Stegostoma tigrinum: one gene and its partners. The protein of the gene in region 2 purifies or fractionates together with the protein of the main gene of each other region. This does not show direct contact. Links are inferred from orthologs where the notes say so. Each region holds a gene or a part of one and is shown on either strand. Other genes may lie near its edges.

Evidence for each region.
Region 1: the proteins of csgalnact2 (region 2) and slc30a1a purify together in Homo sapiens (co-immunoprecipitation; 3 studies listed by BioGRID and IntAct, counting the BioPlex papers as one, with this or other methods). This does not show direct contact. The link is inferred for Stegostoma tigrinum from reciprocal best matches to the Homo sapiens genes CSGALNACT2 and SLC30A1.
Region 3: the proteins of csgalnact2 (region 2) and slc30a5 purify together in Homo sapiens (co-immunoprecipitation; 3 studies listed by BioGRID and IntAct, counting the BioPlex papers as one, with this or other methods). This does not show direct contact. The link is inferred for Stegostoma tigrinum from reciprocal best matches to the Homo sapiens genes CSGALNACT2 and SLC30A5.

Annotation. Positions count from the first base shown.
Region 1 is NC_081362.1:54,334,448-54,338,197, forward strand, and holds the start of slc30a1a (zinc transporter 1a), read right to left. Parts: upstream 2,952-3,750; 5' UTR 2,647-2,951; coding exon 2,019-2,646; intron 1-2,018. UniProt on the Homo sapiens protein: Zinc ion:proton antiporter that could function at the plasma membrane mediating zinc efflux from cells against its electrochemical gradient protecting them from intracellular zinc accumulation and toxicity.
Region 2 is NC_081390.1:21,179,183-21,182,932, reverse strand, and holds the start of csgalnact2 (chondroitin sulfate N-acetylgalactosaminyltransferase 2), read left to right. Parts: upstream 1-1,402; 5' UTR 1,403-1,522; intron 1,523-3,750. UniProt on the Homo sapiens protein: Transfers 1,4-N-acetylgalactosamine (GalNAc) from UDP-GalNAc to the non-reducing end of glucuronic acid (GlcUA). Required for addition of the first GalNAc to the core tetrasaccharide linker and for elongation of chondroitin chains.
Region 3 is NC_081356.1:109,705,151-109,708,900, forward strand, and holds the start of slc30a5 (proton-coupled zinc antiporter SLC30A5), read right to left. Parts: upstream 2,623-3,750; 5' UTR 2,290-2,622; coding exon 2,219-2,289; intron 1-2,218. UniProt on the Homo sapiens protein: Together with SLC30A6 forms a functional proton-coupled zinc ion antiporter mediating zinc entry into the lumen of organelles along the secretory pathway.

The DNA of each region.
Region 1 (3,750 bases), on a different chromosome or scaffold from region 2:
TATTCTACATATAAAAAGCAGTGGTAAAAACAATCAAAAATAGGAAGAACAAGCTACAGGACTCTTAAAATGGACCAATATCTTAGGAGAACTGTACACCAATGATGCTAAAGCTTGAATGGGAACATAAACACAAAACAGTTTTAAAATCACATTCCAGCAGCTGTATTATTCAAAAGTGTATTCCACGGAGCACATTCACAAGATAAAAAAGCAACCCAAAAGAAACCTTGCACCCAAAATCAAATAGTTAAAAACAAAATTTGTATCTCTCATTGATTTTTGTAACATACACAAAACCTCTCCAAGCTCACAAAAAGTCTGAAGTGGTGTGCAATCAATACTTTGGTGGCCCCAGAATTAATTCAGCCATCAAAAATATATATTGACCAAGTCCATTTTGTTCTTGCAAATACTGCTCTGGAATATTTTAGATAATTACAAGAAAAATGGAAATGGAAGACTATGTTGACATAAGATAAGAATGGGCTTCTTTGGGATGCAGTTTTTGCTAGGAGTAACACAGCCTTTGAGTTGTAAAATTGTACACAGCTTTCTTTTTTCCTACTACTGCCTTGCAACCACAAAAGTAATTCAAGATACATACAGCTTACATAAAACTATCCAGTAATATACATTTACAGATTGGCTTTGATTACAAAAGAAAATTTGTTGGGCAGTTTTAACATAGTTAAATCAGGACAGCAAAGTTTACTACCTTGTACTATGCAACATCTGACCCGCTGCTTACAAGAAACTACAGAGTTAGTGGTAACGATAATGTCACTGGTCTATTAATCTACATGCCATATTTAGAACAAGAGGACATAGAATTCTAACTCAACTCCCACCCAACTAATAAATCCAGAATCAAAAGCCAAGTTTAATGAAACCAGGCCAATTGTGATAGAAGTCAAAAATCTAGTTTACTATTCACACAACAAAACAAAATGCCTACATACCACTAAGTGGATATGGTATGGAATGCACTCCTCCACGATATGACAGAACAGCTGAAATATTCAAAAGGAAATTAGACTGCAACTTGAAAATGAAGAATATGCAGAATAATGGGAGAAAAAGCAAGGGACTAGAAAAGAGAACTGCTCATTAGGCAGGTGGTGCAGAAACAATGAGCCAAATGGCTTCATACTAAGCTGTAGCAATTTTTTAGTTTTATTATATCAAACATGATTTTATGATGTTAGCAAGAGTACTGACATAAACACCACTCTTTGCACTGTAGGTCTTGCGTTGGAGAAAAGCAGAAAATAGTGTGTACAATTGAAAGCTTTGTAAATGCAAGTAGCAAATTGACATATTGAATACATAGGCAATGGATTTGGACATGCCAAAAAGGATACAAATTGGTTGTTCCGGGTTAAAGTGCCACCTGGCCTAGGATACAATGATACCTGAACAAAGTTGATTAAATATATCTACAAATAGGTTGCGTCGCACACCTCACCACCGTCGACATCCAATACTGTGCTGTTTGGTGAAGCACAAACTGACATAATACTACGTATTAGCCACAAACCGGACAAAGCACAAATCTAACTGATTAGAAATTTAAATTGAGGTTAACTGGCTACTTCTGTGGCTTAAAGTCAGCTCAGCCGTCATCTGAAGCAAAATATACTAAAACAACGCCAAGTAGTGGCACAGAAGAAATACGATTGCCAGTGGATCCCAATTGTGGTCCCTTCACTGGGATTTTTCGGGCGAACTCAGAATTAAAGAGAGAGAGATGAGCTGGCGGTGCGAGTTCAAATCGGTAATGACACTTCACTGCAAGCAAACACAAAGTGAATGAATCTTTCACCTTCCCACTGGGGGCACACAAAGGGTTTTGTTCTTTTCGATCAGGCCGAGATTGCAGACCCGTTCCTACTGAGTAGGGCTGGCCCCAACTTGGTGGTGGGGGGGGGGGGGGGGGGAAGAGGAGGAAAACGAGAGAAATAAAAGGTGTTAGTATCTAGCGTTGGCAACCCGGGGAGGCCCGCTCCCACACGTACCGAATACATCCTGCTTGTCGGGGTTGACACCGTTGATGGTGCTACCGCTGACTAGGATGTTGATCTCCTCCTGGTCGCGGACGCTCGTCCCGTTGCCGGACAACTTCTCGGCTTCGGCCCTCTTCTTCTTGCGGAGCCACTGGCTGCCGCTCTCCGAGCTGGAGACGTGCGAGTGAGAGTGCGAGTGGCCGTGGGCCGTTCCTCCGCCTGCGGCACCACCGCTGCCGTGGAACATGCAGAGTCCCAGGAGGTTGACCAGGAGCCCGGCGGCGCCGACTCCGGTCACCACCAACGCGTTCTGGATCTCCCGCGGCTCGCTGAAGCGCTCGATGGCCTCCAGCACGATGGTGAAGCAGAGCGCCGTAAGGAAGACGGCGTTGACTAGCGCGCCCATCACCTCGGCGCGGATCCAGCCGAACGTGTTCTTGGCAGTCGACTGGGTTTTGGCGGCGAATCGCACGGCGATGAGGGCCACCACTAGGGCGATGACATCTGACAGCATGTGAAAGGAATCAGACAGCATGGCCAGCGAACTGGTCAGCCGGCTCACCACCACCTCCACCACGAAGAAGCCGAATGTCAGCCACAACATGCACATCAGGCGCGCCCGGTTCGGCTCGCAGTCCATCTTTCTGCAGTCTGACAGCAAACGAGCGGCCAACCCAAAAAAAACACAACCGTTCCAAGGAACAAAGGGCCGTTTAACGTTTAAAATAACGGCCGGAATTTAAAACAAAATAAAAGGGGCTGGGAGCAGAAGGAGGCGAGCTAAGCCGAAAGTTCTCGAGAATAGGAAAACAAGCCTTTCATTGTTTCACCCAACCCGTAACTATGCAGACGCTTACAAAAAAAACTTTTGCACCCGGCAAGTTTTCCGTTCTGCGCACGGTATTTTTTTCTCTCTCTCTATTTCAGCACGGACCCATGTCTACCCCGCCCCCACAACAACCACCGAGCCCGGCCTACGGCCGAGGCTGATTGGTTGTAGCCAAGCACTCATTAGGGTTATTGGTCTACTTTGATGTCAATCATTGTCGTCCCGCCCACTCTGCGCACAGCTCCACCGGGTTGGCTTTTAAAAGCTGGTTTGTCTTCCCCTTCCACCCATCCATTGTGGCGTTAGCAGCTCATTGTGCCGATAGTAACCTTCTGACCAATAGGAATAAACCTAGCCCGGGCTTCTGGCATTAATATGACGTTGATTGGCCACTCTCTTCGATTTCTTTATTTATAATTGGTTGATGTAATACCAATTAAATACAGCCGTCGGCCGTCGCCATTGTACTTGCCGTGCGCTATGCTGATTGGTGTTATTCGTCAGGAAGCAGGGCTCCTTGACAATGATTGACAGACGGTCCTATTTAATAGTTTCACACTTATCGGGAAAATGCCTCAAGCAGCAATTCAGTGTGACTCAGCGTTAGTAGACAGTAATATTTTAATAGCTTTAAAAGTTTTAAACAAAACGTTTGGTAGAACTGTATCGAGATAGTAGGAACTGCAGATGCTGGAGAATCTGAGATAACTAGGTGTAGAGCTGGATGAACACAGCCAGTCAAGCAGCACCAGAGGAGCAGGAAAGCTGACATTTTGGGCCTAGACCCGATTTTCTGAAGAAGGGTCGAGGCCCGAAACGTTGATGCTGCCTGAGGATACAAATTGGTTGTTCCGGGTTAAAGTGCCACCTGGCCGAGGCTACTATGATACCTGAACAAATCGTTAATCGCTGAGT
Region 2 (3,750 bases):
GGGAGGCAGAGACAGGCTGAGCTGGTTTTGGGATGCAGTGGGGGGAGGGGAAGAGCTGGGCTGGTTGTGAGGTGCAGTGGGGGAAGGGGAGATTTTGAAGCTTGTGAAGTCCACATTGATACCATTGGGCTGCAGGGTTCCCAGGCGGAATATGAGTTGCTGTTCCTGCAACCTTCGGGTGGCATCATTGTGGCACTGCAGGAGGCCCAGGATGGACATGTCATCTAAAGAATGGGAGGGGGAGTGGAAATGGTTCGCGACTGGGAGGTGCAGTTGTTTATTGCGAACCGAGCAGAGGTGTTCTGCAAAGCGGTCCCCAAGCCTCCGCTTGGTTTCCCCAATGTAGAGGTAGCCACACCAGGTACAATGGATACAGTATACCACATTGGCAGATGTGCAGGTGAACCTCTGCTTAATATGGAAAGTCATCTTGGGGCCTGGGATAGAGGTGAGGGAAGAGGTGTGGGGGCAAGTGTAGCATTTCCTGGGTTGCAGGGGAAGGTGCCGGGTGTGGTGGGGTTGGAGGGCAGTGTGGAGCGAACAAGGGAGTCACGGAGAGAGTGGTCTCTCCGGAAAGCAGACAAGGGTGGGGATGGGAAAATGTCTTGGGTGGTGGGGTCAGATTGTAGATGGCGGAAGTGTCGGAGGATGATGTGTTGTATCCGGAGGTTGGTGGGGTGGTGTGTGAGAACAAGGGGGATTCTCTTTGGGCGGTTGTGGCGGGGGCGGGGTGTGAGGGATGTGTTGCGAGAAATGCGGGAGACACGGTCAAGGGCGTTCTCGATCACTGTGGGGGGAAAGTTGCGGTCCTTAAAGAACTTGGACATCTGGGATGTGCAGGATGTGCTCTCTGTGATGGCCTAGCAAGGCATTCAGTTCAAGGGTAATTAGGGATGGGTCTCAAATGCTGGCTTTGGCAGTACTGCCTGCGTCCCTCAAAACAATCAAGAATACCATCAACAAGAGGAACTGAGTCATCCGACTCCTACTTGTATGATGCTTCTGAGATGTAATAGCACCACATTTGCTGACATAATGACTATGCCTGCGTTCCTTTTGTCCTGTTGTTCAATGTTAATTATTTCCAGTTGCAATGCTTATTTGTGTGATTGAATGATGCAATCTTCTCCCAACTTTTTTTGTTACGAAATATGTGCCAAGGGGGCAGTGAGATGCTGAAAGCTATTTCACATTATGGATTGTTTTTTGGCCCGAGGGACTGTTCAGCTTTAATAACAGGTCCAATTGCAACACAGGAAATGCTTATAGCAGTCAGTGCTTCATTGACAGGCTGACTGCACACTTTTCCTGTTGGTATTACTGCAAACAAACTGCAATCCTCTCTGTGCCTGCTTGCATCCAGGTACTTGCTCTCTACTTTCCATTTCATGTCTATGTTTCGTTGGATGTCCCACGAGTGCAGTTGTCTGACTGTGGTCCAAAACTCTCATTGGCTGGTTATTACGCAAAACTTGTTGTCTTAATTCAGCAACCAAGGAGTCAAATGGAAACAGCACTGGAGGTAATGGCTGTGTTAAAGTTTGAGCTAGGGATATATGAAAATTGTGAGCGATTGTTGGCGTTATTAACAATGAATGAAAGATGGTCAGTGCCAAATAATTCTAAAGTGATGCTTTTGGGTGAAAGGGCAAAGTCTGTGCTTTACAAGGCTTTTGTTTTTATACAACGTATACCACAATATCCCAAATCACTTTACAGCCAATGGAATTCTTTAGTCACCAAGTGGTCAATATTACAGCCCACTTGTGCATAGCGAGCTCCCACAAACAATAATAATGACCGGATAATCATTTCGTTTTGGTGATTTTCCACAAGGGATTGGCTTGGATACTGGTGATAACTGCACTTTCCCAGCTGAGAGGATAATCAGAGCTTTGGTATCATGTTTCATTTTACAATGCAGCACTTCCTCAGTACTGTATCGAAGTGTCAGCCCAGAATTTATGATCCTATTTCCATAATGGATACATGTCCACCACCTTCAGACTGAGAATGCTACGACTGAGAGATAATCGGTCTACTGCTTGATACAAAGGTCCTGCAGCATTATTTGAAGAAGCGATGGATAATAATTATTGCTGAATTAACATCACTGAAGAGATTATCTGGTCATTTACCTCTTTTGTGTTTATGGCAACTTAGTGTATACAAATTGCTAGTCATCTTTCCTATATCATAAGTGTCAGTACATTTCAAAAACACTCCATTGGCTGTAAAGCAATTTGGGACAGATTCTTATGTGAGTCGGAGGAAGGAGGGAGCAGGAAAAGCAAAAGAGAAGATCTGAGATAATAAAATGTGAGGCTGGATGAACACAGCAGGCCCAGCAGCATCTCAGGAGCAGATCTGAGGTAGTGTGGAAGGTAATAGAGATCAAATAACAAACAATTTCATACTTCAAGAAGCAGACTGATACGACTGTGAGACAGAAACAAAATTCTGAATGAGTTGTGAGTCACTATTCCCATTCATAATGGAACCACACAAATTTCTAGGCCTGAAACGTCACCTTACCTGCTCCTAAGATGCTGCTTGGCCTGCTGTGTTCATCCAGCTCCACACCTTGTTATCTCACACGAATTATGGGATGTTTTACTGTTTTGGAAGAGGAATTGCAAATCTTTCTGTAATCTGACTCAAAACTATTGTTTTACTGTAATTGACCTGTAGTGGCTTGCCTCTGTTAGAATTTTCTCTGTAAATGGATAAACCAGTTTGGTAATGTTGTCAAAGTGTCAGGCATGACTGATACTTTGAAGTGACATGGATAGATCTTGAAAAGTATTAATTTATAAAGGTATTTAACATAACTGTGCAAATTTGTCATGACGTAATGAGCAAAAACAGTTCAACTATTCTCGATTCTGTACAGTGTATGGCACTCTGCAGTCCTTCCCTGCATTTGCAGGGAAGTTATACTTACAATACACAATGCATGACATATAGCCTTAGGGGTTTTACGCATGTTTCAACTCATTACTACACTATGGCAGGTGTGTATTAGACAGTGGCCCTTCCCCATTGAGACTCTGCAGAGGCTGGCCCAAATTACAGTGTGCCTCTCCAGCACATTGTCCTGAACCTTAGAATGTGCCAGTCAATACATGCGACAGTCACCAGCTGTTTGCATGGAAGATCAGCAAGTTTCAGACAGACCTAAGAATGCCTACAGCTGAGTGGATGGTCCTCAGGAGCAATTATGTTTGTCTTGCTACATGTCCCTGGAAACAGCCCATACACCACAGAGTCCTACTGCTCAGCAAAACCTCAACAAAAGTCACTGCATCTGTTTCCAGATTGAAAAGATTAATTCCAGAAGGAGTGTAAAGCAGCCAGCTTTACACATCCACGTCCACAAATATTCATTCGCTCCACCACTAATGTTCAGTTGCAGCAGCGTGTGTCCTTCTTACCACTAACCAAGATATGGTTTTGAAAGCTCTGACAATGAAATATTCTGCCAACTGACTTTGAAATTCTGCTCTGTGAACCATCCAACAGGTTCCATCATCTCATTGGGAAAAAAGACATGGTAACATTTGATGTTGTCGAACCTAGGGTGTAGGGTGTCTACTGGGTACATTTTTACCCCTTTATAGAGAGGGTTATACATGGCGTCCCATTTTAGATCTCCATACAAAATGGAACAAGACTGCCACAATAGGGCATGGACAAAATCTTCACCATGTTGAGCAACAGAAGGAGCACCCTGCAGGAACTCACTGCAAT
Region 3 (3,750 bases), on a different chromosome or scaffold from region 2:
CCTACATGGGTCCCAGTTATGCCTGTCTCTTTGTGAGGTACGTGGAACATTCCTTGCTCCAGTCCTATTCTGGCCACCACCCGGAACACTTTCTCTGCTATATCGATGATATCATCGGTGCTGCTTCCCTCTCTCATCTGGAATTGGAAACGTTCATTGATTCTGCTTCCAATTTCCACCTTGCCCTCACTTTCACTTGGTCTATCTCTGACTCCTCCTTTCACTTCCTCGTTATCTGTTTCAATTTCTGGGAATAGACTGGCCACTAATATCCACTATAAACCGACTGACTTCCACAGCTACCTGATCTATATATCCTTGCACTCTTCTTCTTGTAAAGACTCCATTCTATTCTCTCAGTTCTTCCGACTCTGTCACATATTTTCAGATGATGCCAACATAGACATTTCGGAGGCTCCAGTGTCAATCTTCTTCCTCAACCTTGGATTCTTCAGCATCGTTGTTGAAAGAGTCCTCTGGCCCATCTCCCACACTTCTGCATTTAACCCCTCTCTTCCCTCCCAGAACAGCAACAGGGGACCCCTTGTCCTTATCTACCACCCCCAGCATCCACATCCAGAAGATCATCAGCACCATTTCCACCACCTCCAGTGAGATACCACCAACAGACACATATCCCCCGCGCCCCCCACACCTCCCCTCCATTGTCCGCACAGACCGTTCCCTCTGGGGCACCGTGGTCCAGTCTTCCTTCACTCCCAACACCTGCCCACAGCACCTTCCCTTGCAACTGCTGTAGGTGTAATACCTACCCCACTTACCTCTTCCCACCCTAGTTTCCAAAGGCCCAAACATATCATCCAGGTGAAGCAGCACATTACCTGCATTTCCCACAATCTAGTCTACTGTATTCACTGCTCAGAATGTGGTCTCCTCTATACCAGGGAAACGAAGGGTAGGCTGGATGGCCGCTTTGCAAAACACCCACATTCTGCCCACAGAAGAGATCCTGAGCTTCCAGTTGCCTACCACCTTGACACAACACCCTGTTCCCTAACCAATATCTGTGTCTCAGGCTTGCTGCAGTGTTCCAGTGAAGCACACCACAAGCTGGAAGAACATGTCATTTTCCATTTGGGGACCCTGAAGCCCTCCAGACTCAAAATCAAGTTCAATAATCTTAGGGCCTAAAATCTCCCATGTCCTAGCCCCCACCCCAGGCCTTGTTATCACATAGCCTGTCATTAGACACTACCAATTGTTCGTTACTAACAGTCCCCGTTAACAACAATTCACCCTCCCAGCCAGATCATTATCAACTCCTTTGACTGTCCAACTGTTCCTCTGTCACTTTGGGCTCTATTCCTATCTGACATTTACTCCTTACCACCACCCCCCAACCTATCTTCTGGAATATAAACTGACATTTTCCTAGCTACCATCAGTTCTGAGGAAGGGACACTGGCCATGAAACAGTAACATGATTTTTCTTCACAGATGCTGTCAGACTCATTCTTTTAAGGTAGCTTTTAATCACTGTGCTACTTTAAACTAAATGCAGTCATAATTATTTAATATTTTACAAGACAGTATCGAATCCTACATAATTTAAAACTGACTAATAAATATAAATAAATATTCATAAATTTAAAAACAATGCTGTCTCCTACTTTACTCCTCATAACCCTCACAGAAATTGAGCAGCAGAAATAGAACATGCAGAATTTTGGATCATGCCAACATTTTGTTTTAAAAGTATACAGAATATTAACCCTGCTATCCCAATACCAACAACAGTCATGAAGTAGATGAGAAAACTCTAAATCTGCAAATCAATTTTTCCACACCTGTTTAAATTTGAGAACTGCATCTTTAGTCATGCCCAGTACAGTTTAAAGATAATAAAATGTGAGGCTGGATGAACACAGCAGGCCAAGCAGCATCTCAGGAGCACAAAAGCTGACGTTTCAGGAAAGATAAGGCCTGGGATTTTGACGGGGCGGGGGGGGGATCATGTGTATATCAAAGTGATGTGGTTGAATGCAATGAGACGTTCCAGCTCCAAGAGCTTTTTAGGGAGTTCCAATCGCTACTACCCTTTGGGTGAATAAATTACTCAGTTTCCCTCTCACTCTGCAATCTATTACCTCTGGTAATTGACCACTTTGTTAAGAAAACGTGTTCCGTCCTATGTAGTCCGTTGGCGCTCCTGATATTTTGACTGATCGGCTCACTGACAGTCCCGGGACACATTTACCTGGAGCTGGGTGCATCCACAGGGCCCAGCCTGGTGCTGGAGATGATGTTGTTGGTGTATTTATCCTCCATCCTTCACCCAGCGCACGATCTCACCGCCTCTTCCTCCTCACATCATTCCCCAGGGAACTGCTCCTCGCCGCCACAGTCACAGGCCCGAAACCGGCGGCTCTAATGTCGAAACTAGCCGAGACGCCAGCCACGTCCAGTAAAACGGACCGAGACCGCGCTCCAGCTTCCCGGAAGCCGGTGGGTGTGTACGGGGAGGATCAGCAAATTCCGCACCGGCACTGACCCTCAATCAACCGCCGCACGATTAATCAGCCTAGCAACCGGGGGACAGGAACTCCCAGCAAACCGCTTCCTGCTGACCGTCACCGGCTGATCCTGCCCGCATTCCGCCCCCTGCCGACCGCCACCGATTTGTCCTCCCCGCATTCCGCCCCCTGCCGACCGCCACCGATTTGTCCTCCCCGCATTCCACCCCCTGCCGATCGCCATCGCCCGGTCCTCCTCGGATTCCGCCCCCTGCCGACCGCCACCGCCCGGTCCTCCCCGCATTCCGCCCCCTGCCGACCGCCACCGCCCGTGCCTCCCCGCATTCCGCCCCCTGCTGAGTGCCTGCGCCTCCTGCTGGAAGGCCGGGTTCTGTGCAATACGCTTGTTTCTATGATAATGGGAACTGCAGATGCTGGAGAATCCAAGATAATAAAATGTGAGGCTGGATGAACACAGCAGGCCCAGCAGCATCTCAGGAGCACAGAAGCTGACGTTTCGGGCCTAGACCCTTCATCAGAGAGGATGTCTGAGGATCTCTCTGATGAAGGGTCTAGGCCCGAAACGTCAGCTTTTGTGCTCCTGAGATGCTGCTTGGCCTGCTGTGTTCAATCAGCCTCACACTTTGTTAGGCTTGTTTCTAACTGCGTCTTGGTAGGAAGTATTTTCTCTTTCCATTCTCCAGAACAACGGGCAGCGAGATTAAGTTTCGATTTGCTCTCAGAAAGAGTCAGCAGTGGGTTGAAGACTAATGTTGAAATGACAGAATTAGTCACAGTGCAGATGGTGTCAATTCGGCCCATACAGTCAATGTGGGTTCTTCCAATGAACACATTGTTGTGAGGAAGGGTCACTAGCAACTTCACCTGGACTATCTCTAACACCTCCCTCACCTTCCTGGACTTCTCTGTCTCATCTCGGGGAACCACCTACAAACCGATATCCATTTCAAGCCCACCGACTCCCACAGCTACCTAGAATACACCTCCTCCCACCCACCCTCCTGCAAAAATTCCAGCCCCTATTCCCAATTCCTCCGCCTCCGCCGCATCTGCTTCCAGGATGAAGCATTCACTCCCGCACATCCCAGATGTCCTCGTTTTTCAAGGACTGCAACTTTCCCCTCCTCAGTGGTGAAGAACATCATCGACAGTGTCTCCCGCATTTCATTCCTCACACCCCTTCCCCACAATAACAATCAAAACAGAATCCCCCCCGTCCTCACGTACCACCCCACCAACCTCGGATACAATGCAT